Lonchura striata: one gene and its partners. The protein of the gene in region 2 interacts with the protein of the main gene of each other region in a pairwise test. Links are inferred from orthologs where the notes say so. Each region holds a gene or a part of one and is shown on either strand. Other genes may lie near its edges. The genes, in order: COPB1, TRIM37, PRC1 and FAM107A.

Evidence for each region.
Region 1: the proteins of TRIM37 (region 2) and COPB1 interact in binary tests that used the Homo sapiens proteins (3 or more experiments, as listed by UniProt). The two-hybrid records come from large-scale screens. The link is inferred for Lonchura striata from reciprocal best matches to the Homo sapiens genes TRIM37 and COPB1.
Region 3: the proteins of TRIM37 (region 2) and PRC1 interact in binary tests that used the Homo sapiens proteins (3 or more experiments, as listed by UniProt). The link is inferred for Lonchura striata from reciprocal best matches to the Homo sapiens genes TRIM37 and PRC1.
Region 4: the proteins of TRIM37 (region 2) and FAM107A interact in binary tests that used the Homo sapiens proteins (3 or more experiments, as listed by UniProt). The two-hybrid records come from large-scale screens. The link is inferred for Lonchura striata from reciprocal best matches to the Homo sapiens genes TRIM37 and FAM107A.

The regions. Positions count from the first base shown.
Region 1 is NC_134608.1:50,406,404-50,414,325, reverse strand, and holds the start of COPB1 (coatomer subunit beta), read right to left. Parts: upstream 3,008-7,922; 5' UTR 2,823-3,007; intron 2,626-2,822; exon of another isoform or gene 2,496-2,625; intron 431-2,495; 5' UTR 370-430; coding exon 279-369; intron 1-278. Other genes in the region: PSMA1 (proteasome subunit alpha type-1), read right to left, coding at 5,394-5,450, 5,940-6,044, 6,739-6,818, 7,435-7,564. UniProt on the Homo sapiens protein: The coatomer is a cytosolic protein complex that binds to dilysine motifs and reversibly associates with Golgi non-clathrin-coated vesicles, which further mediate biosynthetic protein transport from the ER, via the Golgi up to the trans Golgi network.
Region 2 is NC_134622.1:9,024,411-9,031,591, forward strand, and holds the start of TRIM37 (E3 ubiquitin-protein ligase TRIM37), read right to left. Parts: upstream 3,012-7,181; 5' UTR 2,847-3,011; coding exon 2,826-2,846; intron 1,583-2,825; coding exon 1,481-1,582; intron 169-1,480; coding exon 128-168; intron 1-127. Other genes in the region: SKA2 (spindle and kinetochore-associated protein 2), read right to left, coding at 4,569-4,728, 5,145-5,277, 5,905-5,944, 6,832-6,918. UniProt on the Homo sapiens protein: E3 ubiquitin-protein ligase required to prevent centriole reduplication. Probably acts by ubiquitinating positive regulators of centriole reduplication.
Region 3 is NC_134613.1:24,372,975-24,380,873, reverse strand, and holds the start of PRC1 (protein regulator of cytokinesis 1), read right to left. Parts: upstream 3,011-7,899; 5' UTR 2,896-3,010; coding exon 2,870-2,895; intron 2,706-2,869; coding exon 2,573-2,705; intron 2,397-2,572; coding exon 2,274-2,396; intron 1,929-2,273; coding exon 1,695-1,928; intron 1,621-1,694; coding exon 1,450-1,620; intron 1,282-1,449; coding exon 1,132-1,281; intron 906-1,131; coding exon 758-905; intron 675-757; coding exon 538-674; intron 294-537; coding exon 198-293; intron 82-197; coding exon 1-81. Other genes in the region: VPS33B (vacuolar protein sorting-associated protein 33B), read right to left, coding at 3,328-3,407, 3,558-3,674, 3,738-3,813, 3,961-4,062, 4,598-4,671, 4,921-5,053, 5,361-5,407, 5,485-5,539 and 6 more. UniProt on the Homo sapiens protein: Key regulator of cytokinesis that cross-links antiparrallel microtubules at an average distance of 35 nM. Essential for controlling the spatiotemporal formation of the midzone and successful cytokinesis.
Region 4 is NC_134614.1:15,843,230-15,850,115, forward strand, and holds the start of FAM107A (actin-associated protein FAM107A), read right to left. Parts: upstream 3,014-6,886; 5' UTR 2,740-3,013; coding exon 2,716-2,739; intron 1-2,715. Other genes in the region: protein FAM3D, read right to left, coding at 6,644-6,733. UniProt on the Homo sapiens protein: Stress-inducible actin-binding protein that plays a role in synaptic and cognitive functions by modulating actin filamentous (F-actin) dynamics. Mediates polymerization of globular actin to F-actin. Also binds to, stabilizes and bundles F-actin.

The DNA of each region.
Region 1 (7,922 bases), on a different chromosome or scaffold from region 2:
ATATGCCTTCGTCCAAGCAGGTATTACTTAAAACGCTCTCAAAAAGAAAAAAAAATCCGATTTTGCACAGACTGGGGAGTACACCAAAGAAATAAAATTATATAATGACATTTCTCTAAACACAGCAAACAGAGGAACATACATCTAGAGCTCAACAGAAAATAAACATGAAACAGACTTGTTTTAGCTTACAAAATGTAAACAATACTCTAGGAAAGGCACAATGAGTGACTAATTCAGGCAAAATGGAGTATCCTTCAATCACTGTCAATACTTGCCTAGGTCATTTTTTAAGCTGATTTCAGAAGGTGGCTCTGAATCCATGGGAACATTGATCAACGTGTAACACACGTTCTCTGCAGCAGTCATGGCTCTTGGTTACAGGAGTTCTCTCAAGGGAAGAATTATTTTCACACAAATGTCAGACAACCTAAAAACCAAGCAAACAAAGCCATCCCAAAGTTAAAAGATTTTATTAACAAACACAAATCATTATATTATTATAACTGACTTAATGGCTTGAAGGGATTGCTGTTTCTTGAGAAGCTACATGCAAAAGGCTTCTTGCTTTGCTACCACCCTGAAATATTCCTGTGAGCACCACAAAGATGAAGAGTATGACATTTTTCAGAGACAACAGAAAAAGAACAAAAACTTTCCAATATTTTGGGCAGTCAGGGATAACAGAAGTGTACAGGGCACCTGACTGAAGGCAAATGGATGCAGCTTCTCCCTTCTGAAGTCATACCCAGCTGTATACTCCCACTACCTTCCCTACACTCCTGTGTCCCTCCAGCTGAATCACCCAAGCTGCAAAATCAGCTGAAAAGCTTCACAGAAGAAAGAGAAAATGAAAAGATAAAGTTCTGAGCTCAATTAACAAACCAAATCAGTCTATGCAGGAAGCTTTGAAGATGAGCATGAGATCCAAGAGAGCAGAAACCAAGGATGGGAGAGAAGACAAAGTGAAGGAGACAGAAGCATTTTATCGCCAGGGATCATCAAATCAGCTCAACTCTACTGTCTCCACTAGACACTAATGAGGAAACCAAGTCTTTTTATGGTGAAAAAGGACAAGAAGGCTACAGATCTATCTAAGCTGCTGTGTGCCTGGCAGTCCAGGTAATGAAATCTGCTATTAAGCTCAATGCTCATTCTCAGATTTGTTTTTCCTTGTGTAATAGATATCTAGGATCAAATCAACCTTTTTGTTGTATCAATCCTCATTCTCATGTTTATTTATTCTTTATATAATAGACATCTAGGATCAAATCAACCTGCTTATTCTATTTCTTAAGTAATGAAAAATGCTCAAGCTTGAGCTTGCTTGGCTAATGCTAATGCTGTGATACTACACTGACAAAGCACAGCAAAGAAAACAGTCACTATTTATTACATGAGCAATTTTGTACTTTCTACAGAAATTGTGTCAAAAATAAATCAGCTTTTATTGACATTAATTGTCTGGAAGTCTGAGACTCCCTTTTCTCATCAAATGGGCACCCAGAGAACGTCACCCTGAACAGGGAGCAGGGAAGTTGTGCTGAGCTGGGCTGCTGTCCCTTTCTCCACAGAGGAAAACAACTCGCATCAATCAGTGCCACAACAACCACCCCAAAAAATACTAGCAATACAAACTTTTAAGGAAACAGTCCTCTTCCTGTTATGAATTCTGTATTTTAAGTCCTAGATCACTCAATCTTGTTGCTTACAAATATCTACATAAACCACCGATTCCTGAAATGACTGGATGTGGCACTTAGTGCCATGCTCCAGTTGACAAAGGTGGCGATCAAAGGTTGGATTTGATGATCTCAGAGGGCTTTCCCAACTGTTTTCTTGCCTCAGCAGCAGCTTTTTTGCTTACATTTCCCATGCTGTTACCCAGAATTCCTGCCTCAAAGCCCTGCAGCCAGCACCTTCAGCTACAAGAACAACTCACACAGACCATAAAGTAGATCCTTGTGAAAGCAGGGCAGGTATCTTTACTCAAAGACCTCAGCTGCAGAAATTTCCAAAATTACAGTGAAACATATCTCTGAAGCATGATAAATGAGTGTACTTTGGGCTCTGAAAAGCAGCAATGAAAAACAACTCTCTTAAAACACAGAGCTGGGAGATTTGGCAGGGAGAACCTGTTTTCCTCCTTGCAAGGCACAAAGACTTGAAATCAGAGAAATTGAGAGCCCACAGGGACACAGACGTAGGTGCTGCTTTAACTCTCCAGCGGTAACATCTCTGTCACCTGTGGGTAGTCACTGAATGAATGGAGTCCGAAGGGACTTTAAAGAGGAATTCATTCCAAACCCTCTGCCATCACCAGAGCAGGTTGCTCAGAGCCCCATCCAACCTGGCCTGGAACACTTGCAGGGATGGGGCACCCAAGGAAATCGAAAGTTGCAGAGTTTACAGAGGCCAGAAGACAAAAAGCCACGCCTGCTCGCCACCTACATCCCCGGGGAGCCTTAGGAACGGGGGCACCTAATGAACCAAACCTTGAGAATGCAGCGCTCCACTGAGGCACAATTATAGCACAGAGCGTTCCAAATGTTTACTAAAAAATCCGGTAAATTTCCAGCCGGCTGGGGGCTATTTCTCCCTTAATGTCCCCGCTCCTACTTCCCCTCCAAACCCGGGCATTTTAAGCTATGAGGCAAAACTTCCCGCAGCGCCGCGGCCGCCTGCCATTCCCCTGAGCACACGCCGAGCGCCGCAAGCCCTCCCGCAGCCGCCCCGGGGCCCTGCCGGGGGACACCGGGAAGCTGCCGCCGGGGCCCCGAGGCCTCGGGCCTCGCGGCGCCCAGCGGAGCAGCGGCGCCCACCCGTTCCCCCCGGCCCCGCGAGGCCGGCGCGGGCGGGCCGCGCGGCTCCGTACAGCGGCGGGGTCGGGCCGGTCCCGGCGGTGTCCCGGCGGTGTCCCGGCGGTGTCCCGGCGGTGTCCCGGCGCTCAGCCCGCGGCGCTGCCGCTCCGCCGATGGCTGACGTGGAGCCGCGCCCGCCCCCGCCACATCGCGCCTACGGCGGCCGCGCCGGGACACGCCTCCCGCCAGCGCGAACGGGGCGGCGCCGCCGCGCGGGAAGAGGGCGGGGCCGGGAGGGGCTGCGCGCGTGACGTCACGAGCCCGAGCGCGCGGCGGGGTTTTCCCGCGCGGGGGGATCCGGGAAAACAGCGGGAAAGAGCGGCCGAAACCGAGATTAAAAGCGCCGCATATATCGACAGAGATTTAGATATAGACAGACACAGATTTTGATATAGATTTTGATATTAGAGAATAGATAAAATAGATATATAGAGATGATATAGATGATAGATACATATAGAGATAGATATTGGACATAGTTATTAGCTATAGCTAATAGATATAGATGATAGAGAGATACAGATATTAGATAGCTATAGATCTAGCTATTAGATAGAGATGATAGATGGTGATAGATTATGATAGAGAGAAATAGAGAGAGATGATTGGAGAGAGATCAGAGAGAGAGACAGAGAGAGAGACAGAGAGAGAGACAGAGAGAGAGACAGAGAGACAGACAGAGAGACAGACAGAGAGACAGACAGAGAGACAGACAGAGAGACAGACAGAGAGACAGACAGAGAGACAGACAGAGAGACAGACAGAGAGACAGACAGAGAGACAGACAGAGAGACAGACAGAGAGAGAGAGACAGAAATATAGAGATGGAGATAGATATAGACAGATATAGATAGAAAGCAATTAGATAAATAACAACCAAAAAAAAGACAATAAAAGGGGGGCTCGGAAATGGTAAAGGGAAAAATAAATAAGAACAAATAAATAGGTGGGGAGAAAAAGTAATTGGGGGAAATCAGTAATGAACTGGAAAAATAGATTACGGGAAATGAATAAAGAAGAGGGTATATAAATAAATAAGGGAAAAGCAAAGGGAGGGAAAATGTGGGGAGTAAGCAAAGGGAGAGAAAAAAAACAATGTGGGGAGAAGCAAAGGGAGAGAAAAAAATGGGGGGTGGAAAAACAAGGGGGAAGCAAGGGGAAGGAAAAGAAGGAAAAAACCAATGGGAAAATAAATAAAGTGGAAAACATAAATAATGGTGAAAAAGTAATTAAGGGGAAAAATGAAAATGAATAAGAGAGGGAAAAATGAGTAAAAGGTGAAATAAGGGAGGAAAGAAATAGAAAAATAGAGAAAACGTAAAATAAAAATAAATTTAGGAAAAATAAAAGCAGCTTTTTCTAACACTTAAAAAACAAATATGCAGCCCTGGCACTGCTGTTCTGCTATTTTCATGACTGAACTATTTGTATGGATTCAAGACAGTATTGAAAGCCTGTTCAAAACAGCACCATGATTTATTGATTTTTGTTTAATTAAGAAATATTAATAAATTATTAATCTGAAGGTTCCAGGCTTTTTTTTTTTTTCAAGTACACTGAGCAGGCTATCAGGGCCTATGTGGGTCCACTCCAGAAGACTATTCCTTGCAATTTTCAATGCAATCACTGGGGAGAACAATTATATTAGTGATCCAACACAGAAAAACACGAACTCTTTCTTGCTTACAATACAGCATCCCGCCCAGGTCGCACCAATTCACTGGACTTCCCTGGCAGATGACCCTGAGGAACTCACTGTTAGTCCCAGACTTCGTGGCATTCAGCCCAAATCCAAAGAGTACCAGTTGCAGACCAAGCTGAAGAGACAAAGCCGTGGAGACCTCTAATGGGAACTTCTGGTGGGTTTTTGTTAACTCCAATTCAGCCCTCAGTGAGCTAAAAGCCCTGTTCTGCCCCAAGACTGGCTGATGGCTCTAAAAAAGACACTGGCAGTTCTAAAAAAGCTGGGGTTGAGCAAATTCCCCCAAAAAAACTGACCTTTTGACTGTCAGCTTCAAATGCCTTTTCAGTTGGGACAAGCTGACACAGGTAAACGCTGTTCCCTGTTTGCTCCATGACTATTTTATGGTTTCATAGGCATTTTAAGATCCCCTCAGTTCTACATGGTAAGCAAACACTCTAACAAATGGTCAAACACAGAATGGCAGCTTGGCATGACACTGCTATTTGTGAATAGCTGTTTTTTCAGACTGAAAAAAAACCCAAACTCACAGCAGAATCCGAGAAAGTGATTTATTTCCACTTGTCCTTATGAGTTAAAGACAGTATCTTTTCTTTATAAAACAGTATCGTGTACTATTTAGAAAATGATTACACCTTTCTTGTCCAAGTTACACCCAGATATGTCCTCCTGTCTATCTTTTAAGGATAGGTGGGTTGGTTGGTTTCTTTCTTTGCGAGCAATCCTCAGAATGTAGTATCATAAAACATATAGAGGTGAGGATAAAGTTACCAGCAAATGGATAAATGTTCCTGGATAATTATACATTAACAGAGGAACTCATCCACCAACTAGTGTTCCATCGGTTCCTCTGCCTTCTCCACAGTTTCTTCAACTGGCGGGACCAGCTTAGAGAGAGGGAAAAGAAATATTTTTAGGAAGGCAGAAGACAACACTTGACAAATCAGCTTTATCCCCATTGGAGCACCATGAGTGGTAAATGCAGCTTGTGTAAGCCAACAGCTCACAAATTACTGTTACCCACATTAAGCACAAGCAGGACATAGTTGGTAATTAGGAAACTACAGAGGCATCTTGCAAAGGGCATGAGAAACATATGCAACCACTTCTGCTGTAAAACTCGAAAGCTCCTACTTGATCAGAGATGAGGAAAGAAGATGACATTGGAACAGCCTGGCATAAATCCAGAATAAACTGATTTAATAAGCATCTGAATTATCAGATGATGCAGTGTTCATATAGTAACTACATATTTTAAAAATTACCTTCCTAATACTCTGGTACAGTAGTAGAGTTAAATTTATGTTAAACATAATAGATAATCTCTAACTATTGTCTTTCAACCAAGCCTATTTATTCATAACTGAACCACTCACCTTTCTCTGTGGTCTCTCCTCAAGACCTTCTAGGAATGGTGCTACATCATCATCATCATAGATGGTAAACTCCATGTCTTTACCCACAATTCCAATTGAAACATTCTGTCAAGCAAAGGGTCAGAAGCAGTGAGAAGCATTTTCCTGCAATTAACTTTGGCTTTACAGCTTTCATTTACAAAAGCTATCAAATTTCAAAATCTTCTAAGTAATGCCATTCAAGGGTTTAAATTTCTATCATTTTCTTTTTAATAACACACACAATTTCTCAAAACCACTTATTTTCAACTCATTTTGATTTTCAGTATTTTATGACCTCTAAAAAACATGGCAAGCTAAGAATAAAAAAACATGGAAAATGGTAGATAATTGGATATTCTAAGAATTTTCTTCTTCAACAGGTCCTCAATTCATTGTCAAAAGTTTGTGCAGCTTTGTGATGCTGGATGCTCTAGAAACTGCTGGTGCATAACCTCCACTCACCGCCCAGGTGAATTACTGACTGTGCTTACAATGCAAAGCTGGGATTCTACAGCCGCAGGTGATGCATCTTAACCACTGATCAAAGCTTAAGATAGAGTGAAGCCACCATGGAAACAGTGTTTTATTTAGTGAACGCATCGTTTTTGTGAAGAAACTTAAACCTGAGATGAACACAGAACAGTAGATAAACTGGCAACCTGAAATGAAGATATTATCTAGCAGTATTCAGCTTCAAAGTTTTGGTGCCAGCCATACTTCCAAGAATTTTGTCACAGTTACTTCAGAGTAACAATGGCAAAGGAAACCTAGTCCTTACCTTGGTGGTTAGATCCTGTTCAGCAGGAAGAGTCTCTCTCAGGGCTCGCAGTCCATGTTTAACTAGCTCATTTAGATTACCTTAAAATAGGATCAGAAAGACATTGACAACCTATATGGTATTACCTCTAGACACTCATTCCGCTTCTTCCTAATCCTAGCTGACAACTCCAAAATCAGCTTGACTCCCAGACTTCCTCTCCTTTCTGAGCAGAGCTGGTTATAAAAGTTTTCCTTGAGAAACCAGCCTTCCCCTATATTTGAGGCCAAGTGCACCCATTTTTGACCCCTGCCTTGATTTAAGCTTTTTCCCCCCAAGCAGGTATTAAATGGTTCCTCATCATCATCCTGTAAGAAAAATAAATTCACCACTTTAAATGCAGCACCTAAATACTTGCCCTGACATACTAACCCTGCTCTGCTATGGAAACATTTTTCCTGAGTTAAAAAGGGCAGAGGCTCTTAACGTTTTTCACAGCTTTTCTTTCCATTAGATGAAATAAACACCCACATGTTAAGACATGAAAATCTCAGCCATATTCTCTAAAATTTTGTCTTTATGCAGATTTACAGTTATGCCAAACTTGGTTCACAATATTTATCTTCATCTCACTCAATGCAAAAGAATGGAGTGGCAGCAGGAGATAAACTGCAGAATTGATGAATACCAGTGGGTAGAGAGAGCTCCACTACTCACAGTCAGTGAACTCAGTCATGTGCCTCTCCAAGTAAGTTCGTGCTGACTGTGAACGAGCACCAATGGACATTGCCTTGCAGTCAAAATAGTTTGCAGAGGGACAAGTCTGGAAGATGTGAGGGCCCATATCCTTCAAAGAGAGAAGAAAACCCCCACAGAATGTTAAACAAATATATAAATTCACACCGACTGCTGCTAGAGCATAAAATTTTTTAAAAGAGTTTTGCTTCATGGTACATCACACCTACATGTGTGCACAGAAACATGTTTTATATATACTTTATATTGCTGATCATATCACTGTTCTTACACAATTCTTTCAAAAACTGTTGTTTAAAGAAACACAACAACTATTTAAAAAACCCCAAAAACCTCTTTTCCTCCACTTCTCCCATCTGCAGCTTTTAGATGGGCAGGATGGCTGGCACAAAAAAAGTGTTTCTTTCTCTGTTCTACAAATTGCACTGTGCATAAGTAAGTTCCCTACT
Region 2 (7,181 bases):
CAATCTTGATTGAACAGCAGGTCTGAAAAAAAACTTAAAGCTTATAAATTTAGTGCAACCTGCACTGAAAAAGAGATTGGTCATAACAGGACAATGCACCTAATTCCTGATATTAAAAATACCTTACCTACAATGAGGGCACTGAGCTCTTTGTTCAGTCAGCCAACGCTGTGATGGAAAAAGGAGAAACCTTTTTAAACAGACTGGAATGAAAGAACTGCAGGCAAATACGTTCTATCATTAATTAGGAGTTACTTTACTTTTATTACAGCTTTCCTATATGTTTTCCCTGTTAAGCAAATTTTCAATTTAACTGTTCAACCACTTAGTCACAGAAAAAGCTTCTATTTGTGTCTTAGGAACAAGCCACCACTTGTCTTTAGATGTCAGAGATGCTTCAGTTAAAATTATATAGAGAATTTTGAGGTACCAAATATTGCATTAGAAACCACCCACCTGGCAGATTCCCAGAGTCTTAGACTAAAGAGCATGTTTCAATAAAACAAAGAAAAAGACACCACAAGCATCTTTTTCACAGTCTAATTAGTATTCGAGGTAATTTATTTCTTCTTCTTGAGTTATTTATAGACAAATTAAATACCTGAAGTTCAGTGATCAAATCCACAAGGAGCTTGGGAGTTTTTCTCTTCCAGAAAGCTCCAGGGACAAACAGCTGAGCAAAGAACTTCACCTGCCCACTACAACTCACAAGTGTAAAAGCTCAGCAGTTGATGGGTTTATATTTGTCAGCTCTCTACTACATTTAAAGAGTCTCATGAATAATCTCTCACCACCCAGCAACAATATGTCATCTAAAATCCTTCATATGCAGCATGAATCCTTCACCTACAGCTCTTGTCAGAGCTTCCAGAGTGAAGGATGAATGTCTGTTCTAATTTCTGGAAATACTACTGAGGTCTGGAAACCTCAGCTGAACTTTTTACTGCTCCAGCAACACAAAACAGCATCTGGATTTGGAATTGGAGCGTGATACACTGGGAACCACGGCCTCAGCAAAGGAATGAGGATTCAGGTGCTGCCTCAGACTCCCCTGAGAAAGATTTAGCCCCACCTGATCACACCACACCAGCCTGACAGGCATTATAAAACACCTCCAGGATACACGAGGTGATGCTGTGACCTTCCCAGGTGCAAAGTCAGCGTCTGATTTCTGTCCCAACTTTTATCTTCCATACAGGCATCACCAACTCTCAGGAGGTGCTAAAGAAGGGATCATTGTGTGTCTCTTTCTTAAAGCAATTATTCCAGATGGTGCCTATAATTAGCACCACTGAAGGCAACGCACAGCTTGCCTACTTCTTCCTCAGGGGTGTTATAAAAGGTTTTGAAAGGGAAACTAAAGAAGGGGAAAAAAACCAAAAAAGGAATCCTTGGAACTCCAGGAAAAGAATGTTTTCATAAGCTCAATCAGTTTGCAGCTCAAACCTTTGAAAGAACAGACTACACCAAGCAAACTCACCCTGATACAGCTGAAACAGCAGAGCTTGGAGCAGTGAGGGCACAGGCGGGCATCCCGCAGCTTCTCCATACAAATAAAACATCGGAACACCTCGGCAATGCTCTGCAAAGGGGGATTAGCACTATTGTTAAACATGCTTCAGACGCACCAGGGCTGCATTTGCTTCCCAGGCACCGAGCCAGGTTTCTGTCCTGTTTCAAACAGCACATCTCCGAGGGAGATACAACCTGCGCACCACAACTCTCCCTCTCAGCTTCTCCTACACTGCACCAGCACCTGTTTTATAACACTATTCCCTCTCTCCAAGGAATACTTTCTGTTTGAACTTCTCTCTTTTGGAGCAGGACTTTCTGTAGCCAAGACACTCTTGTATGTGTTCACACAGGATTGAGCAGCTGCCAGAAGAAATGGTGTTGTACCTGCAGGCAGTGGACTGGCACTAAAATATTATTAGATCATGGTAAGTGCATGTATGTGTAATATAAAAGAGGTGTTGAAATGAATTGGGTATTTTTTTTTTACTTTTATAAGACTTATATTCTTTTAAGGTCTTACCATTAGCATTAGCCCCACAATTTTTACACTCTCTCCCACCCCATTTAATCAATCTTGGGTTCATCAATCCTTTCCAAATGAGAAAGGTATTTTGAAAGCAATGTTTCCATACTTATAATTTTTAAATGATAAGGAAGTTTTACATCTTGTATCATACAGGAGTTTTAATACTTCTGGTTATAACTCTGGAACTTCGTAAGGTCCTTCAGCTGAGCTAATTTCCCCACAGCACTGAGATTGTGAATCAGCACAAAAGCAAGACATCTTCAATTTACAGATACCACAGCATCTCCCACACATTCAGGTCTCCTTTAACAGCTGCAAGCCATTGAAACGCACCACATGCGTTTACAGGAGACCATCGCAGCCGTTCTTTCTTTTCATTCTTCCTCAGCCTGGCTGTGACACAGTCCCCAGCAGGTGTTGGAGCTGCCGGGTCACAGCCGCTCCTGCACCTCCGCGGTGCCAAGGCGGGCTGGGTGTGCGCCAGGTCTCCATCCATATATCCCTGCATCCCTGCATCCCTGGATCCATCCCCCTCCGGAACTGGCAGCCGCCAGCTCATTTCCTACCCCCTCCCCACCTGCTGCCTGCCTGCCCACCCGAGCCAAGCCCCGCAGCGCCGCAGGCTGTTCCCAGCGCCGCTCGCCACCGCTCGGCCTTTCTTCCGCTCCTCACACAGGGCACACGGACCCTCCGAGGGGCTCCGTTAAACCGGGAGGGTGCGGAGGAGCCGCCGCCGCCCCCTCACCGCCCTGAGGGAGCGCGCGCCGCCCGCCCGCCCGCTCACCTCCACGCTCTGCTCGTCCATGGCTGCGGCTCCGCCAGCGGCGGGAGCAGGGCCGGCTGTCCCCGGCCTCCCTGTGCGTGCCCGCGGGCGAGGAGCGGAGGCTCCGGGAGCGGCGTTCCGAGGGGCAGAGCCCGTCGCGGAGGCTCCGCCGCGGCCCCGCGCACCCGCCGGGCCGTGACCGCGGCAGCGCGGCCGCCCCGCCCCGCCCGCGCTGCGCATGCGCGGGGCCGCCCGCAGGGGGCGTGGCGGCGCGAGGGCGGCGGCGCCTGAGGGGAGCGGGCGGGGAGAGCGCGGCGCTCGGGCTTGCCTCTACTTTACTTTAATGTCCTTTACTTTTCCTTATTTTTCTCTGTTATTTTTATTTATTCTTTCCTTACCCGCGAGGTTTCAGGAGAGGAGATGGGTTTTTGCACCCTACTGGCAGCTACCTTCAGTTATTATAGCCAGCGTTCACCAATAAATTAAATAAATTAAATAAATTAAATAAATTAACTAAATAAAAAAAATTAATTTAATTAAATAAATAAATAAAATAATGTTATAAATAAAATAACATATATATTATAATATAAAAGTATATATCAAATATAAAAATATATTATAATATATAATATATAACATATAACATATAATATATAACATATAACATATAATATATAACATTAACATATAACATATAACATATAATATATAATATATAATATATAATATAATATATAATATATAATATATAATAAGAACAATAAAATTTAGAAATTTAATGCTGCTGTTGGTAGTGGCACAGCAAAAATGGAATCCTCTATTAGAAGATCAGTGTGGTTAAAAGCTACTAAATCAGTGTGTGAAGCTGATTAATTGCTTGAAACTGATTAGTTACTTCTAAAAGGGCGCACATGGCAGCAGGCATTATAAAATCAAGTTATCCCTGTTCTTTCCTCTTCAATACTCAACCTGTTTCTCTTCCCATCAAACCCTAAAGCAGTTCAAGGATGGGTTCAGAAATCAGCCTTTCCTTCCCTAAGAGCACTAAATTAAATTTCTCTCCTTTGACAGACATAATTCTTCACAAAAAAGAAAAATTAATGAAAATTAATTTTTATTACAGAGAATTAATAAAAATTAATGTATCTTACCCTCTCAAATTAGGCTGAAATATAACAATATGAATATTTAAAAGTATATAATATATATAGAATGGACAATATAGAAATATTACACATAAGAAAACAATGTTATGATTTTCACTGTTAGGGTGGTCAAACAGTGTAACAGAGGTTGTAAATTCTCCATCCTTGGGAATTTTCAGGATTTTCAGGGGCTTGGACTGGGCAGTGCCCAGAATTCCCTTCTAACCCTGCCTGGACTGTGAAAAACCCAAGGGAATTCACATCAAAGGGAAATGAATCAGCTCAGGGAGCAGGGTGAGGAGTCACACAAATGAAGTATAACAAATCTTTATTTAGGAATGCAAAGACAATTAAGAGGTTTGGATTATTTGCCTTTAAAAGACCCTCAGGAATGCAGCAAGGAAATTGGAAGCATCACATGGCTCACAACATTCCTTAAAAATGCATCAACCATAATAATTTAAACAGGTAAGGTAAAGTGCCAACCTCAGTGTTTTTGAACTCTCCAATTTCAAGTATTATCAACAGAATATTTATACAGAAATATTAATAATTTTCCTACAGGGGAACTCTTGTTTCAGAGAAATTCTTGCTCCTTAGTAATCCAGGAGCTGGATCAAGATGCTTCTGTGTCCGAGTAGTTTTCTTTTAACTCAGCCAATTTTATATTTCCTTGTTTGTCGACTTCTACAATCCCCATTTCTTTCAGGATTTGAATTTTTATATTAGTGGCTTTCTTAATTACTGTTTTCATCTGTGTAAGACTCAGTGCTGCTCTGTAAAACGAAAAAAATTTAGTAAAACAGGGATCAAACATCAGCTCTGGCAGAAAAAGGCTAAAAAGCACATGCTGTTTAATCAATGAATTTGTGAATGTTCTGTAAATCTCAAACTTATCCAGATTACCAGCAACTTTTCTATGCCACCTCAAATCCCAGCAGTCATTTGCTAATCTTAGGGCTAAAAAGACAGAATTCCTGAGTTTAAAACTTCATTTTCTTTGTAACATCAGCCTGTAAGAAACCCCCAGCACTCACCCCAGAGAAGGGGAGGGCAGAGTTTGGGCTCATGGTTTAGTCTCAGTTCTTTTAGAAGTTAAAATATGCATAACTAGCTGCTTTTATTTAATTTGAAAAGGCTGAAATTCTTTGCAGTTTATAAAAATATTTTAATGAATGGCTTTGAGCTTTACCTGTTGTTCTGTACAATGAAATGGTTAAACAACTCCCTGTACAAACAGTTCAAGTCTGTTAACTTAACAGTTCTCCTGATGTTCCTGGGCACTCTCAGAAATGCTTCCTTTGTCAATGGTGTGAACTGGGCTTCTAAAAAATTGGAAACAGAAGATATTTGTTAAAAAGAAAGGAAATGGAAAATATTTGTTTCTTTAGAAATTGCATCAAAGATAGAAAGTGCTTCCATTAGTGTTTAAAAACACCTCTAAGTGAGATTGAAGAAAGATTTTCCAGCAAGAGAAATGAGAGAAAAAGACAATCACTGGATCTGGAGACTGAGTAAAAAACCATGTAATTTGAGATCTGATGAGGATTGACAAATTTGGTCTGTCAATGACCAACTGGCTTTGTTTTGGTTATTTTGTTTTTTTAAAAAACAAACAAAAACCAACTGTGAAAATTCTTTTCTATAAGCAGGGATAAATTAATTTTAAAAGAGCTATTTCTATGGTAAGATTAGTGCACCATTTCTTCCAGAGCTTAAACACAACAAGATTTCCACTTCAATCCCATTGAAAGCAAGGGAAAAAAAATCCCAGAAACATGGCAACTATTCCTGGAATGTAACTCAGGGGTCAGGTCCTTCTAGTAAAGTCTAAATTCTTAACATAAAAGCAGTAAATATTGGTGCTTGGGAGGGAAAACAGTGAAGTTACTGCCTATCACAGCCTCTCTGAAAATAAATCAGTGGGAAATTTATTTTTTTTAATCACTTACCTTCAGCTGAGCCAGGGACTGGAGATTGTGAGCAGAATGGCTAAAAATAAACAATAATGTCAGTATTTGTTAGTGTTTTGGCTAGAAATCTTTTTTCACAGTTTCATTTCTGCATGAAATTTACATTAATTACATTTTACCTTTGGATAACCAAAGCAGCCACTGAAGTCAACAGCAAAATCTTAGGGATTAAGCACAGTTTAAAATGAAATTAAGTTTAAAATGGATACAGAAAGATTTATGTGCAAGTCAGATGAGCCTCTCCACAGGTTCCATGTAAACCAAGTGTGGCAATAAAGGGACACAAAGTGAGATGTGACAGTGGGAAGTGAGGAGAAGTTGAAAAAGAAAAGGTCAATCAGAGAAACAACCTCTGTTAACCTTCTCTAATATTTTTAATATGAGACCCAGAGCAAACATTTGCAGATAATTATAATGGATAATTACATCTCGAGCTATGGGAGAATATCTGACTTTTTAACAAATATTAATTTAGATCTAAGTTCTACTGCATTGCACTTAAACTAGATTGTTACTCATATCCCAAAATTTAATATTTCACAGGAAATTAAATTTCTCCCCACATTGGTTTCAATCAATGACATCCCTCACTCCCACCCAAATGTTTCTTTATCAAGAAGATCAACAAGAGCAACCAGCTGCATTCCCAAGAAACATAAACATATCCCAATTAAAAAATAACAGGAACAAAGTCTTCCATCAAGGGTAATTTCTCCTTTGTGGAGCATCTAATTGGAACAATCAGAAAAGCTTAATCTGTACAGAATAAAAATGAAAAGGTTTGTTAAGGAACGTAATTCCATTTCTGAAAAATTATCTTCACTTGAAAGGTATCAAATCACAAAATCAGCCCCTTCTGCAGGAATTAAATGTTTCTGGAATACTGCCATTCCATGCCCTACTTACCTCTTTCACTGGAAGTTCCATTTCTTCCCCAAATTGCAAGTTTAACTGCTGGGTTGCAGCCTGTTCTTCTGCTGACAGAGGTAAGCTCTGGGAAAATAAGGAAAAGTAAACACAGAGAAGTTTGATCCTTCAGTTCCTGAGGTGGTATTTACAGAGGGACTCAATGTTTGTGCAGCCCTTTGCTCATGGAAACTGACAGTAGACTCCTGATTTCCTTCCACTGAAAACAAATGCACAAGTAAAGTGTTGCTGAAAAATCAACAATAATCTTCCTCTAGCACCAATACTATAACTTAGTCAAGCAGGAGAAATTTTTCAATTAAAAAAAAAAAAAAAAGGTATTTCATTTC
Region 3 (7,899 bases), on a different chromosome or scaffold from region 2:
GAACTGCTGCCCCTTCACCAGGAAAGCTCCCTTGAACTCCTCCTCCCAGGTCTGGACCTTCCTCTCCAGCTCCTCCTGCAGCTGATCAGAACATGAGGGCAGTGTAGGGGCTGCCCTAAACACAGGTGTCCCCACACCCAAGGATCCCTTTTTCTGTGTCAGTGGGACCACAGGTCCTTCCCCAGGGCTGGACCTACCCTAGACAGCGTCTTCTGCAGCTTTGCTCGCTGCTTCTCCTCCTTCAGAAGGTTTCCTCCTCGATTGGTGAAGCGGCTGGGGTCACTTGCTTTACTCTGGTAGAGAAGGGTGGTCAGGAGCGACACAAACACACCACCCAATCCCCTCAACCACATGTGATGAAGGCCCCAGAGAAGCCAGCCCTGCACAAACACCCCAGTGCTCAAAACACAGCACCTCATCCCTGTACTGGCCCATCACGGCTTCCCAGTGGCTCCCTGCTCCTTCCCAGAGCGCTCTCCCTTGGGAGCAGAGTTACACGCTGAGCCATGACCCCACATGTTCCAGCCTGGACAATACCTCCAGCTCCAGGAACAGCTTCCAGTTCTCCTCCCACTTCTGAACAGCCTCAAACAGATCTTTGTGTGTCTCGTAGTACATCTTCATCTTGCCCACCTCAGCGTCATGCAGCTCGAGCAGGCTCTCTGAGTAATCCTCTGGAAGGGCACAACAGCCAGGTCAGGGGGCTGCTGGAACCCCTGGATTCCTCCCCAGATCTGCCTGGATGGCCAGCACCCACCATCATAGAAGGGGCTGAACCTTTCCCTCTGCTCTTGGCTGTAGAAGCATTTGTCCCAGTAGTCAGCCAGCTCTGCCCGGATCGCGTGGATGACGGATTTCATGTTCCGCAGCTTCAGCTCCTCCAGACTGTCAACCTCCTGCTGCAGCTGTGCCGGGAGCAGAGCACAGGTCAGGGAGGAAGAGGGGAGAACAGGGCTCATCTTCTGCGTGAGCCGCTCTCTAGAATGAGGCAGCTGCCAGCACCAACCTCCAGCACCTCCCTCCAAGCAGGCAGAATTTGGCCAGAATTTGGTCTCCCTGAGCAACCAGGAGCGTGAGATCCCAGAGCTGCTGCCCCCAGCCCTCCCTCCACAAGCACAACAGGGCTCTTACAGCTCTCCTGGTTCGCGCCCTGGACCCGGCCAGGTGCACGGCCGAGGCCTGTCTCTCCTCCTCGGGGATCTGCAGCCTTTCCCAGAGCGCGAGGATCCTGGTGCGCAGCTCCGCGCACACTGCCTCGTTCAGGGCCCGCCGGGCTTCCAGCTGCACCGAGAGGGAGCGGGTATCAGCCCGAGCCTGCCGCGCCCGCGGGGCCGTGCCGGCACGCCAGAGCTCCCCAGCGGCCCGTGTTCGGACACACAGCCTCGCCAGAGCCCAGCGCCCGCTCTCGACACGGCGGCAGCCACAGCACTGCCTCAGAGCACAACAGACCTGCTGCAGCAGCGTCTGCAGGGCCACAATGTTGTCCTGGGACAGGCAGAATGCCTCCTCATCCTCACACACCACGTCCCGCTCAAAGCTGGTGTCCGGAGTGTGGTCCAGCTCCTCCATGAGCAGAATGATCTGACGCTTGTTGGTGACAAATTCTTCCCGCCTTTGCTCCTGAGGGCGAGGGTGGTGTCAGGAACCAGGGGCCCCTTGTGAGCCCCTCAGGCCCCCTGACCCTGCAGGCTCACCTTCAGGGTGCTGAGGGATGCCACATGGCGCCGGTAGCGGTCCAGGTCCTCCAGGCTGGGCACGCTGCCGGTGTCGATGGTGAACAGGGCTGTGCACAGGATATCACACAGGGCTCGGTCCTGTTCCTGCAGGGCCTTCAGCTCCTGCTTGCGGTCCCGCTTCTGCTTCTGCAGCACCTCCACACATGTGCGCAGGTTCTTCTCCATCTGCAGGATGGTGCTTTCCTCCTCTGTCTGCAAGGGGCCAGAAATCAGCTCTGTTCCAGACTTCTCCCACACCTGGCTCATGCTTCAGGTTTTTATGCAAAGCCCGGGGCCGCCAGGCCTGGGTCTGAGTGAGATGCTCCCCAGGAAGGTGCATGAACACCAGCAACACACAAAACAGTGTGCTGGAGAACACCACAAACCCCCTACCAGTGCTGGCCTGTGAGGGGCCACAAAGCCCTTAGCTCTACCAAGCTCCCAGAAAAGCAGTTTGGGATGGATATTTGCCTTCTAAGCTCTGGCCTCTTGGGACACCCAGGCAGAGGCCAGGCAGCAGCAGTGCTGCCAGAACAACACCAGGGTCCCACAGCTCACCTCAAAGGGGCCCAGCTGGAGCTCCCTGCACAGGGTGTCCAGCTCCTTCCGACACAGGGCAATGCTCTTCAGCAGCCGCTCCTTCAGGCTTTCCTCCTCCGCCACCATCATGTCCAGGAGACTCTGCGGCACAGGTGTGGTCAGAGGCAGGGCAGCCCGGGGCTGCACGGGGCGAGGGCGGAGAGCGGCAACAGCCGGGCGGAGACCCCCGGTGCTCCCCGCAGAGCCGGCCCCGCGCTGGGCGGGTCCCGGGCTGCCGCTGCGCGGCTCAACAGAAGAACCGGTGACGCCGCGCTCACCTTGATGTGCTTCCGGACCACGTCCGTGCGCTCCAGGCGCTGCTCCTCGGGAATGCCGATCTCTTCCCAGATGTCCCGCAGCGCCGCCATGGCCCGGTTCAGGCAGGACACGGCCTCGGCCGCCAGCACCTCGCTGGGCACGGCGGGCCGTCAGCGGCGGCGGCGGCTCGGGGCCCGAGAGCCTCCGCCCGTCCCGCCGGGACCGCCCGCCCCGGCGCGCAGCGCTTGCACCCAGCTGTGCCCGCAGCCCGGTTCCCCCCGGTTCCCCGTTCCCGTTCATGTTTCCCGGTCCCGCACCTTTTCCTGGTCGCTCCGCGCTCCATCGCCGCCGCTCCGCCGATTCGAACTCCCCCCGCCCGCGCTGATTGGCTGCCGCGCCGCCGCGGCCCCGCCCACAACCGCCAACCGGGCCGCGCCCCCGCCCAGCCACCAGCCAATGGTAGCGCAGAGCCTTGAGCGCTTCCAGCCAATCCGCAGCGAGACCGCCGCCGCCTCCTGCGCGGTAACGGCGCCCCCGCGCGCCTGCATCCGGCAGCGCGCCGTGACCGCGCCCGGGCGGGGCCCGCGCGTCCCCGGGAGCCGCCAGCGCGTGCCCGCGCCGGCGCGTCCCCGGAAGCTGCCCGCGCGTGCCCGTCCCGATTCAGGGCCGCGCCGGTCCCGGGGGGCCGCGCTCCCGCAGTGCCCGGCCGCACACAGACAGCCGCAGGCCGGGTCGGTGTGAGCACGGATCTTTACTGGCGCGCTGCCCACGGGGCTCAGGCCTTGGCCTCGATCGTGGCCTCCATCATGCGGGCGCTGTTGGTGATGGCCGTGGTCAAGAAGATGAACTTGTACCCTGCAGGGAAGGCGCGTTGGTGCCCCGGCAGCGCTGCGGGCAGCACCGGCACTGCCGGCCCGTGCCCGCGGGCTCCACTCGCCGAGCAGAGCACAGAGCCCGCCTGGCTTCGAGCTGCGGCGGCTCCTGCCCGCTCCAGGCGGCCCCTACCTTGCTCCTTGCCCAGGAAGCGCAGCGCCGCGATTTCTGAGAAGGTGCAGCCCCCCAGGAAGACGGCGAGGACAACGCGCTGGGACTCCCCGGCAGGGCTGTCCTCCGCAGTGCTGTCTGCAAGGGCAGGGTGCTGTAGGCCGTGCCGGCTGCCGGCCCCGCCGCCCGGCCCCCCAGTACCTGAGACGCAGAACTCGTTGCCGTTGAGCAGCCGCACTACCTCCTCCAGGCCCTGCCAGCTCCGGCGCTCCAGCACCTGGGGGTCAGTGCAGGCTCAGGCTGGCTCTGGGCACGGCCCAGCGCTCGGAGCAGCGGCACCATCGGCCCCAGCCCTGGGCAGAGCCCTGCTGCGCTCCCCAGGCGAGGCAGGGCTGCGGGATGTGCCCACAGTGGACGGGCTCACCTGCTCGATGATTTTGCAGCTCAGGGGCACGTAGGCCCCGCCAAAAACATAGGCCATGTCCCGAGGCATTTTGAGGTCGTACTCGCCATCCAGCCGAGGGATCTGCGGTGACAGGGGACACCAGGGGTACAGGACCAGGCTGCCTGGGGCCTCACTGCCCCTCAGAGGTGCAGGGGTGAGGAGAGACAAATGCTTGGAGCACGGCTCCGTCCCCACCTCCTGCCCCACCATCACATGGCCTGGGTGGGCTGTGCAGCAGGAGCCAGGGACAGAACTGTCCCTGAAATGCCCCAGAAACGTCACCTTGCCAGCAGCCTAGGACCTCTGCCTCAGGATGGAGGACACAGGGCTGCCTGCCCAGTGCCACTGCTGTCTGAAGGGGGCAAGGAAAGGCCCAGTGCTGCTCCACACTCACAGGGCGCAGGACCAGGGCAGAGTGGGGGAAGCACAGAGGGCAGGAAAGCTGGCAGTGGCCCCCAGCCCCCAGGAGAAGCCCGCAGGCTGCCTGGAGCAGCTGCAGCAGCTCTGGCCCTGAGCTGTGTCCCCCTGCGGTACCAAACCTGCAGCCTGGGCACAGGCTAGCAGAGCTCTCTGCTCTGTGGGCAGTGTGGCCAGCCAGCACCCCTTGAGGACATACCAACCCCAGCTTCTTGCTTATGGCTCGGAAATTACTCTTCCTGGCCAAAGAATTGAATGCATCAGTGATCTTTCCTGGAAAACATGACGAGGAGAAACACCTTAAGAGGCTCTGCCTGGATCCCAGCCCAGGCTGGCAGAGGTGTGCAGAGCTGTGTGTTCTGGAGAATGGCTGTGGTGGCTGCCAGCTCCGGTGCCCCCAGGGCAGAGCCCACTGCCCTGCCTGCAGCACCATCGCTGGGGACACGCTTGCCACATGCCTCCAGCCAGCTCTGGGCCAGCAGCTGCCCTTCCCAGGCTGCCAGGGACACGGGGCAGGCTCACCTGCGGCACGGTCTGTCACCAGCTTGCTGACTTTGCTCTCCACGGCTGTCAGGGTCTCCCCAGCTGACTGCTCAGTCAGCAGCCCGATGCGCTTGAGGTTGTGGAAGGTCAGCAAGTGCTCGGGCCCATAGCTCTGTGAACGGGGCAGCAGCGTCAGTGTGGGCCTGTCTGCCAGCACGGGAAGCAGACAGGCTGTGCCCTCTGCGGCGAGGCACAGGGGACACTGTGACAGAGCCCCTCTGTGCTCAGAGCCCCCAGCAAACACAGCGCAGGCGCAGGTGGAGCTGGGGCTCACGGTGAGCCTGTGCAGGCAGGGTCTGTCCTGCAGACACCCAGGCGTGCTGGGGCTCAGCCCCAGGAGCGCTGCTGCCCAGCGCCTCGTGGCCAGGAGCGCAGGGAGGGGACCCTACCCTTGCCCAGCAGTGACTCCTGGCCCTCACCTGCAGGTACTGGGTTTTCAGGGAGCGGTAGTCCTTGGGGATGAGACCTGTGGGGAGCACCAGGTGAGCCCCGTGCCCGGGCTGGGGCTCGGTGGCCCTGCTGGCCCAGCAGAGCGTTGCTCACCGTTCTCCGTGATGGACAGGAGGCACATGAGGCGCAGACTCTCCACGGGGGACACCTGTGGGGAGCGGGACTCAGCGGGGCAGGGCGGGGCGGCTCAGCAGGCGTCCCCGTGCTCTCACCTGCCGGTCAATGTGCTCTTCGATGAAGCTGGTGCTCTCACGGACGTCAAAGCCCTCCAGCAGCGCTGCGGCAGGGGCACAGACAGCATCAGCCCAGGGCTCTTGCCAGCCCGCTGAGCTGGGCTGTGAGCTCCGCTGCCCTCCCAACACCCCAGGGAATGGGGCCCCCACCCCAGCACACGTTCTCTCTCAGAGAGCGCAGCCTGACCCTACCTAGGATCTTGACACAACCCCAGAAAAAGAGGCTGGGAGGATGTGGCCAGGCAGGGAACACCCAGGCATGAGGCTGCCTGGGCCTGGGGCAAGCCAGGCCGTGGGTCAGACTGGGGCGGGGTGGGCACAGATGGAGCAGCACTCACAGTGTTCAGCCTTGATGGTCTCTTGGAAGTCCTGCTTGGTTTTCTTTTTCATGATAGACTCACAGGCACCAATATCTACACAGCCAAGAGACAGAGCAGCTTTGGAGGGGAAAGGGCTCTGCAGGCACTATTAGCACATGCCAACAGCCCCTGCCCTGCCGGGCCCATCCAGGACCCCCAAGCCCCTGCCTTCCCCGCAGCCCCGGCACGCGCGGTACAGCCGAGGGCCCCTCCCCCAGGTTCCTACGCAGGCTCAGCAGGCGATGCTCCTGCTTCAGTCCCTTCAGCTCCTGGGACACGAAGTCCTTCATCTGCTTGATGTCCATGCCCCGGCGCCGCTGCGGGAGGGAGAGCAGGGGTCGTGGCCGGGCTGCGAGGGACGGTGCCACGCGCGTGCCGGGGGACACTCACGTCGTATTGCGCCTGCAGGTTCCGTGACTTCTGGCTCAGGAAGCCAAACACGCTGGAGAAGTGCTCGTTCCGGATCTGGCTGAACACCTGGGGAAGCACCACAGCTGCCAGGGCCCGGCTGGCTGCAGCCCTGGAGACAGAGCCCAGGGCCCATGCTCGCACAACCCGCGGGCCACGTGCCACCCCATGCCCCGGAGCCCTGGCTGGCAGCACAGCAGTGCCAGTGTGTCCCTCTGAGCCCAGCCACAGCTGATCTGAGACATGCTCCTCAGGGATCAGCCCTGATGTCCTGGGTCCTCCCAGCTCAGCAGAAACACTCTTGCTAGGAACCACCTCCTGCTTTTTAATGAACAGCCTGGGAAACTTATTTTTGTAACCCGAGTAAAAACCCACATGGAGTAATATTTTCATTTTCAAATTCCATAGTAAAAATACAACCTGAATTGTGGCCAGGATGGAAAATAACTATGAACCCCATGACTCAACAGGAGGCTCTTCTGTATTCCTTTTCTATTCTTTTGATTCCCCCCTCATTCCCCACCTTGACCTCCATGTAGATATTTTTGGGTTGATTTTGATGTGGATTCATTGATTTATATTTTTTTTTTGCTTTTTATCTGTGTGCTTTAACAATTTAGAACTTTGCCAATGAATTTTGTCATGCTGCAGCTTTTACATTAAACCTGTTTTTGCAGATGCCTTTGCTGGGGATTCCTTCAGTGACCTTAAAACACTCATTTGTGACACAGCCCTGCATGCAGGGACTCTGGCAGGTTCAGAAGTGGAGCTGCACCAGGTTTCTCTGGTCTCTGTGCCTGAATCCATGCTCCAAGCAGCCTCCAGCTGCTCAAGCTTAGGGGAGGGAATGCTCCACTGTGCCTCCTCCCACCAAGGGGACTCACTTTGTCCTGGGAATTGAGCAGCACTTTAATACTCTTGTCAGAAGAGGTGACATCTGGCCCAAAATCCACACTGCCTGCAGGGAAAAATGGAGAGCTGCTTTGTCCCACGTGCACGAGCCCTGCTGTAAGAGGCAGCAGAGACAGGGAGGGGGGTACCAGCCCAGTCACTTGGTCAAAGTGAGGACTCTCTGTGAATGACCTCCAGCAGCACCCCACGCTGGGACTGCCCCTGTGGGAACAGCACGGTGCCAGACAATGCCAGGCACAAACCCTGCAGACGCTGGCCAGGTGAGTGCAGAGCCCCGTGCTGTGAGCACAGAGCCCCAAGCTGTGAATGCAGAGCCCTGAGTGAAGAGCCCTGAGCTGCCCTGCTGTGAGCACAGAGCCCTGAGGTGTGAGCACAGAGCCCCAGGCACAGAGGTCACGTACCACACTTGATGCGGAAGGTGTCGTCCACCAGCCCCTCGTAGACCACTTGGGAGCAGAGTGCTGTCACGTAGTCGGTGTCTGCGGGGAGAGCCGGAGCCAGGCTGCCCTCTCGCTCCTCCTGCGGCCCCACACAGCCTTCCCTGCCCCTCGGGGAGATGTGCTGCCCACAGGCAGCCCTGGCCACTGCCCTTGCCT
Region 4 (6,886 bases), on a different chromosome or scaffold from region 2:
CCTGTCCTGCTCAGATGGAGGAGTTTTAAAGGATGTTCTCAAAGCCCTGTTTTCAGCATGGGCAGCCAGGTACTGTGGTTTGCCTGAATAAGCAGAACCTCTCTCCCTGGCACTGGCGTGCTGCCCCTTGTTGTTCTAAACCAGCCACAGAGCAAAGCTCCCTGCTCAGCAGCAGGGCTAATCCAGGCTCATCTGACATTAGTGTAAACTGACACTCTTGGGAATTTGGGGACAGAGAACTTTCCCTGGGGAAACAGCCACTATGCAAACTCTGTCTTGAGAAAGCATGGAGAAAAGAATTGTAGAGGTGCAGGTGCCTGGGAACAACCTCCTCCACTGCCAGAGGGTATGGAGCATCTGCCCTGGCACCCTGGGAATCTCTTGCTGATGAGGCTGTGCTTTCAGATTATTTGAAGGATGTTTGCTGGGGTTAGAGGGATGTCAGCCACACCAGTGGGGCTGAAGCCCTGCAGAGCAGAGGAATCAGCAGGGAATCATCACCAGCTCTGCAGCACGCACGAACCAGCCTGTGGCAAAGTCCTTGCCTTCCCTTCAAGAGAAGGGCAGCCCAGCAAAAATCTGTGTCTTGCTGGAGCCCTGCTGTTGGCTTGGGCCCACAGAACACTGGTGATACGAGAAGAGTTTTTTTGGGACTAGATGCAGCCTTTTAAAATAAAAATGTCCTCGGAGCCATGCTGGCAGCCTTTCCGGACCCTTTTGTTGTGGAGCTGGGGATTGCCTTGCACTCCACAATCCACTACTGTAATCCCCTTGGAGTGCTGTTCTGGACTAAGCCTGAAAGAGGTGCAGCTGGGACTGCTAATGCAGGCTGTGCTGGCCAGGGGTGCTGAGCCCTGCTCTGTGCTCTGGGTCCTCTCTGGGCTGCTGCTGACACATGGGCTCAGCCCTGGCAGGTCCCTGTGCCCTGAGCTGTGCCTCAGGTCCCTGAGCCCTGGTTCTGCAAGGGCTGGGGGAAGGGAAGCTTTCCTGTCACCTGGACTCATCCTGCTCTTCAGGAGAGCTGGATCCTGCTGTTCACACCCACCCTGGAAAGGCAGCAGAAAGAATTGTCTTGTTTTCATCTCCCACCAGCATCAGCCTAAGGGTAAAGAACCAGGAGCTGCCAGTCAGACGTCCCTGCTTGGTGCCAGCTGGGCAGTGGCACAGGCTTTTGTCAACCCAGGCAACATTCGGGAGGCTGAAATGGGAGTGACATCTCTGACCTTTTGGTACCCATGAAAGTAAAACTGTCTCAGCTTTTAGGAGCTGCCAGGAAGCTGGAGAGCCTGAGCTCCCAGCAGCATTTCAAAGCCAGGCCATTCAGTGCTGGGCTGTGGTGGGATCGTGGTGTTTCAGAGAGAGGGAACAGTGGGCAAAGTTGTCCAAAAGCAGCCTGGTCTGGTGGTCAGGAGGCTGGCATGGGCTGCTTTGTATGCAGCGGGGCTTAACTGGGTGGCACTGAGCCAAGCCTGACCTAACCAGCTTATTTCCCTGCTCCCAGTAATGCCTCTACAAATGCGCTGGGGCCTGAAGGTCAGGGCCACGTGAGCAGGGGCCTGGGGATTAGCTGTGGGCAGAGCATGGCTCCTCCTGGGTGTGTTGTAGTCCTGAGCCACAGGAACAGCCACAGGAACAGCCTCGGCTCCTGTGTGTGCTGGAGCCAGCCCTGCCTTGGGAGCTGGGATGGGAGCTGGAGCAGCTGGGGCTGGCTGGGAGCAGCACCTCCTGCACCTGGCACTTGTCAGAAGTCCAGAAAAACAGATACATCTTTACTACTCCCACTCCAGCTCTGATTTTCCTTCTGGGTGTTGGTCACGCTGGCCAATGGCCAGTTTTTCACATGCTTGCCCTGCAAGGGTGTCTAGCTTTGGCTTTGGAAGAAAGTCCAGCAAGTTGGCAAAATTCTGAGAGGCACTTAGTGACCATACCTCTGAAGGCCTCAGTCATACTCAGCTGAGCATGAAGGGTCCCTGTTGGGGCAAAGGGTCACCTCTGTCCCCATTCCAGTGGAAGTTATTACCTAGTGTAGTGCACAGGAATGTTTCTCTTAGACCTGGGAGATGAGCTATGGAAGTCTTACTCCAGACAGGGCATTGCAACTGAGCAGGGATGATGCATCTCTAGGCACTGATGTCATAAGCCATGGAAGCAAAATGACATGCAACATCCTCATCACAACCATCTCCAGCCACCTCTGCAAGGCTCTGACTCCATAAAACTCTCCATTTGGAGCTATTTGACCACTCTCCCCAGGGAATCTGGAGGACAGGGATACGCGTTGGTGCTGTGGGACCCGGCCCAGCCCCTCCCTGTCCTGGGAGGGAGTTGGCATCAATTCCCAGGCCAAGAAACACTCAGGACTTGCTTTGCCCTGCATCTACAGGAGACATCCCAGAGGCTGCTGGAGGCATTCAGAACAAATCTAACATTTCTCCCTAGAGAACAAAACTTTGTCTGTCCTAAAGCCACACTTGCAATGCTCTCACCCCCTCCTTGCTGTCCTGAAATCCCCGGCAGGCCGCGATGCTGAGCCCATTAGACGGAATTACTTAACGCGGCGCTGCTGGGAGGCACCACACCCAGGAGCGGTCCCTTCCCTTAATCGCGGCTGCCGCAGCACGCGTGGGGCAGAGCGGGTCCCATGTGAGCACAGGGTGCCTTCTCCATCACCTCTCGCACCGCAGCCCGAGGAGAACCGCCCCGGCAGCTTTTTACCTTTTTGCCGTGAGACGCCCCCATGGTGGCTGCGCAGGCTGCGGGAGCCGCCGGCTCGCTGCGGTCACGGCCCCGTTACAGCGGCGGGGACAGGCGGCCCTGCTGCTCCCGGCCCCTCCGCCGCTGCTGTGGGGAGCCGAGGGTGAAATCCAGCCCGAGTGTGGCGGGCTCGGGGGGGAAAGCTCGCTTTTCCTCCCTTCTTCCAGCACGTGGAGAACTCATTTTCTTCATGCACCTAACGGCTGGCTCGCACCCAGGCTCTGCCCGGGCACAAAGGCAGCTTTCATGCTGTGGATGCCCGGTTTCTAAGCCGGGATCCGTATTTTGAGAGGCTGTGGAAGATTACAGTAATTGCACTTGACAGGGCAAGATGTCACAGGATGCGGATTCGCCCAGCTGCGGCCCGGCACCCGCAGGTCCTTGCCTGTGGCATCTTTCCTAGATACTCCTTTGGTGCTTTGCCCAAATGGACCCTTAAATATAAAGAAAGATTATCCCTCTTCTGCCTCTGTATCCTGGCTCCCAGCTCCTGTTGCAGCACTGGATTTTGCAAACTTTGCTCCCACAAACACCCCAGGTTGCCTGTTTGCTGCTGCAGCCTTGGTGCCTCCTGTGACCCCAGGTGAGCCCAGGTTACCTGAAGCTGCATTCTGGGAGTCTGGGCGGCTCAGGCTTGTGTTTGGTGAAGATTCTGGGGATGCAGCACAGTGCAGAGCAGCCAGGTAGGTGCCTGTCCCTGCAGTAATACAGCTTTCAAAATGCCACAGCACTGCAAAACTTCATTTGGAGATTGCTGTCCCTGCACCCACTGTCCTTTTCAGATCCATTTAAAGAAATTAGTCAGTTCAGTTTGACTCATGAATTCATATTTATTCTCTACCTCTCAGTGTCTGGATATTTAAAAAACTCTGATTTATTTATCAGGACACAGGGACTTTGGCAGGAATGACTCTTGAAAACACTGGCTGAAGGTCCCTGCACAGGAATTGCATTTTTAGCTCTCCCTATTTCTTGAAAATAGTGATGTACCTTAGTAACTGTTCTGTGATGGATTCAGAGCTAGTTTTAACTGCCTGTAGCATGCTGAAACATAAATTTCCTTTATTTTGGCTTTAAACCAGATTTCTAATGTGCATTGCAAGGGGTAGGAAGAGTTTCCTGCGGCTGAATGGGGCTGGTTGTTTTTGGGGCTGTAGTTGATGCTGTGCTCTGGTTTGCCCTGTGGAGCCACCTTTACAGCTCTTGGGCTGTTTTCAGTTTGCTTTATGAGTGAATCTAGATCCTTTGAGGGGCTTAAAATAGTTGGCATATTTATGCTGGCAGCTCGCAGGGCTGTTGTGTCTGCTGGTTGTGTTATTTCTTGCTGTGCCATGGGTAGGGATGATTCAGCGCTGGGGATTAACCGCTGTTGTTGCAGCAGATTTAGGGATCGATTTATGGCAGAGGTTTCCCTCAGTACCATCAGGTGTGTGCTAAGAGCATGGGAGGATAAGCTGGGATAAAATACTACACCTCTTCGGGGATTCCTCTGTGGTGGCTGTTTCGGGGTTTTATTTCAGTTCTGCCTTTGGAAGCCCTTACAGGTGTTACACAGTTTATGTGGGGATTTTTCCTTGTTTAGGGAAAACTGATAGATTGGTGGTGTTGAGTTTTGGATCCAGGGTTTTGTTCCACAGGTGGCCAGCACAGAACAGGCTGTGTCCTTTCCTGGCCTTATCCTGCCTGTGCTCCTCACTTCTGCTCCCCTGGGGTGACCTGAGAGCTCCCATAACCCTGTGAAGTGCCCGCTAGGAGCTGTGCAGGGGCTGTTGCATGCAGAGAAGGCTGCTCCAGGAGAAACACTCCATCCTCATGTTTTGCAAAACTGCTGGTCTGCTTCAGAGAATGGGGAAAAACCAGATACAATCATCGGAAATTAAAGTCTGTATGTGATGCAAATTCATCCTTGTCTCTGATGGCAGATAAGCCCAGCCATCACCCGTGGAGCTCATCTGATCCCAGCAGCGCCGGGGCTCGGGGAGGGGCTGGGAGCAGACCGTGCTTGGCTGGTGCATCTGGGCAGGAGTGGGGGGCAGATGCTCCCCAGGACCTGCTCGGTGCTGGGGAGCAGCGTGGGGACTGCTCTAGGAGCACTGTGGGGCTTTGCTGCTCGCCTTCGGGCAGGGATCTTTGCTCTCCCCGTGGTGCCGGCTGGCCCAGGCTGGGCTGCAGCTCCCGGTGTGTGGCTGACCCAGCGGTGCCAGCCCGGGCGCGTTGTAGCGCTCCGGAGCGGTGCTGGCCCCGGCTCTACCGGTAAAAGGCTCCCACCTATTGGTTGTGTTGCACAACTTCAGCTGCCCAAGAAACCCTGCACATCCATCCATCCATCCATCCATCCATCCATCCATCCATCCATCCATCCATCCATCCCTGAGGACAAAGCAAGGCTGGCGCAACCCTGGCATTATCCTGGCCTTTGATAGGGGTGTGCCACAGAGGATTTAGCTTGGATTTAACCTGGTGTAAGAACCTGATAATACGAGAAAGGCTTCAAAAATTTTTTTGTCATTATGTCTGCTTATCATCATCACTCTTGAACACCTGAAAACTACGGGTGGGATGGACTGCCTTGAGACCCATAAAAAGGAGTGCAAACCTTGTGCAAAATGTGGAGGGAAAAGCGAGGGGCAGAATCCTTGACCTTTGCCTTTCCCCTGCCTCCACCACCATTGCCTGCTGTGGGACACCCTAAGGCCTCCATGACACTGCCTGCTTGGGGAGGAACCCCTGATCCTGCAGCCCTGGACTGAAGTCAGGAGTGAGTTGTGGAACCCTTGCCTGCTTCTGTGTCCCATGGCAGGGAGGGAGCACCACGAGTGGACCAAGGTTTGGCTGCAGAGACCGGGCATGGCTCCTTCATCCTAAGGATGGGTGGCTGCATCCCAGCCAAACTGCTCCTGAAGTTGGGGGGGCAGATAAGATAATTCAAACAGCAGAGAAAGAAGGACAAAACCTGCTCTGCTCCCCACACCCTGTCTCAGCAGCAGCCAAGGTAGTACGGTGAGGTGATGACCTATCCTATGCTTTTAAAAGTAACCTTAGTATTTTCGAACTTTTCCCTACTTTTCACTTTCTTTCTCTTTGCCTCTCTTTCTATTAAATCAAAATCTATCAATTTTTTTGGTATCAACATTTAATCTTGCTTGTTTTTTTATCTTGTTTTTGGGAAGATTTTGAACCTTCAAAGTTCTTTCTATTTTATACATAGAGACTTATTTTCTTTGCTCTTCTGGGTTTAAACCAGTTTTTAACACCCAGGAATGATGCTTTGGTCTGTAAATATTAACCTACATTGCTGTGTGCTATCCCTGTGGATTTCTGGCCATATTGTGGCTGTAGGAGACTGTAGGACATTGGCAAGAGCTCCAAGGGGAAACCACCAAAGTCTGAGCATCCCCAGGGATGACTTTACCCTGTGCCATGTGAGGAGGGGGAGTCCTGTGTGCAGGGCTGTGGGATGGGTGATGGTGATGCTGGACTGGTGGCAGAGGACCTGGCATGCTGTGCCTGTGGGAGAAAGTGTTGATTATGCTTGAAAATGGAAGGCAGAAGGTAGTGTTTTGTAATTAGAAATCTCATTGAAGAAATTTACAAAACCTTCTACAAAGTTTTTAGTTAAAAGATAGAAAAATAAAATACCCCAAATTGACCCATTGATGAGGATGGCTTGGCTGCAGTCTGGCCACGTGTCTGCTCTGCTCTGCAGGCACTTGTACAGCTCTTCTCCAAGCCATGCACAGTTCCTGCTGTGAAACAGCCAGTTCCCATGAGCAGGCAGCAGCTGCTGGGCTCTGTGACCTGGCAGTGGAGAGGCTGCAGTCCCCACGATGGGGCTGGTGTCCCTGTGTGACTGGTGAAGCTGCCCTCCATGGCAGGCTGGAGTTTGATGCTAGTCCATCTTCCTGGGGGCACAGCCCTCCATCTCCAACAGCTCAGGCCAGCCCTCATATTTATTTGTCTCTCCATCATTTTTAATGTACTGCAGGAATAAGAGAGAGAGAAGATGAATAAGGAGGTTGGAGCAGTGCAAGTTGGAAAGGTGGCAAAAGCTGCAGCTCGGTTTGGCGTGGGGGACAATGCCACTGGTGCTTGTCTTCTGCAGGCAGGTGGGTGAGATGTAGCTTGGGGGGTG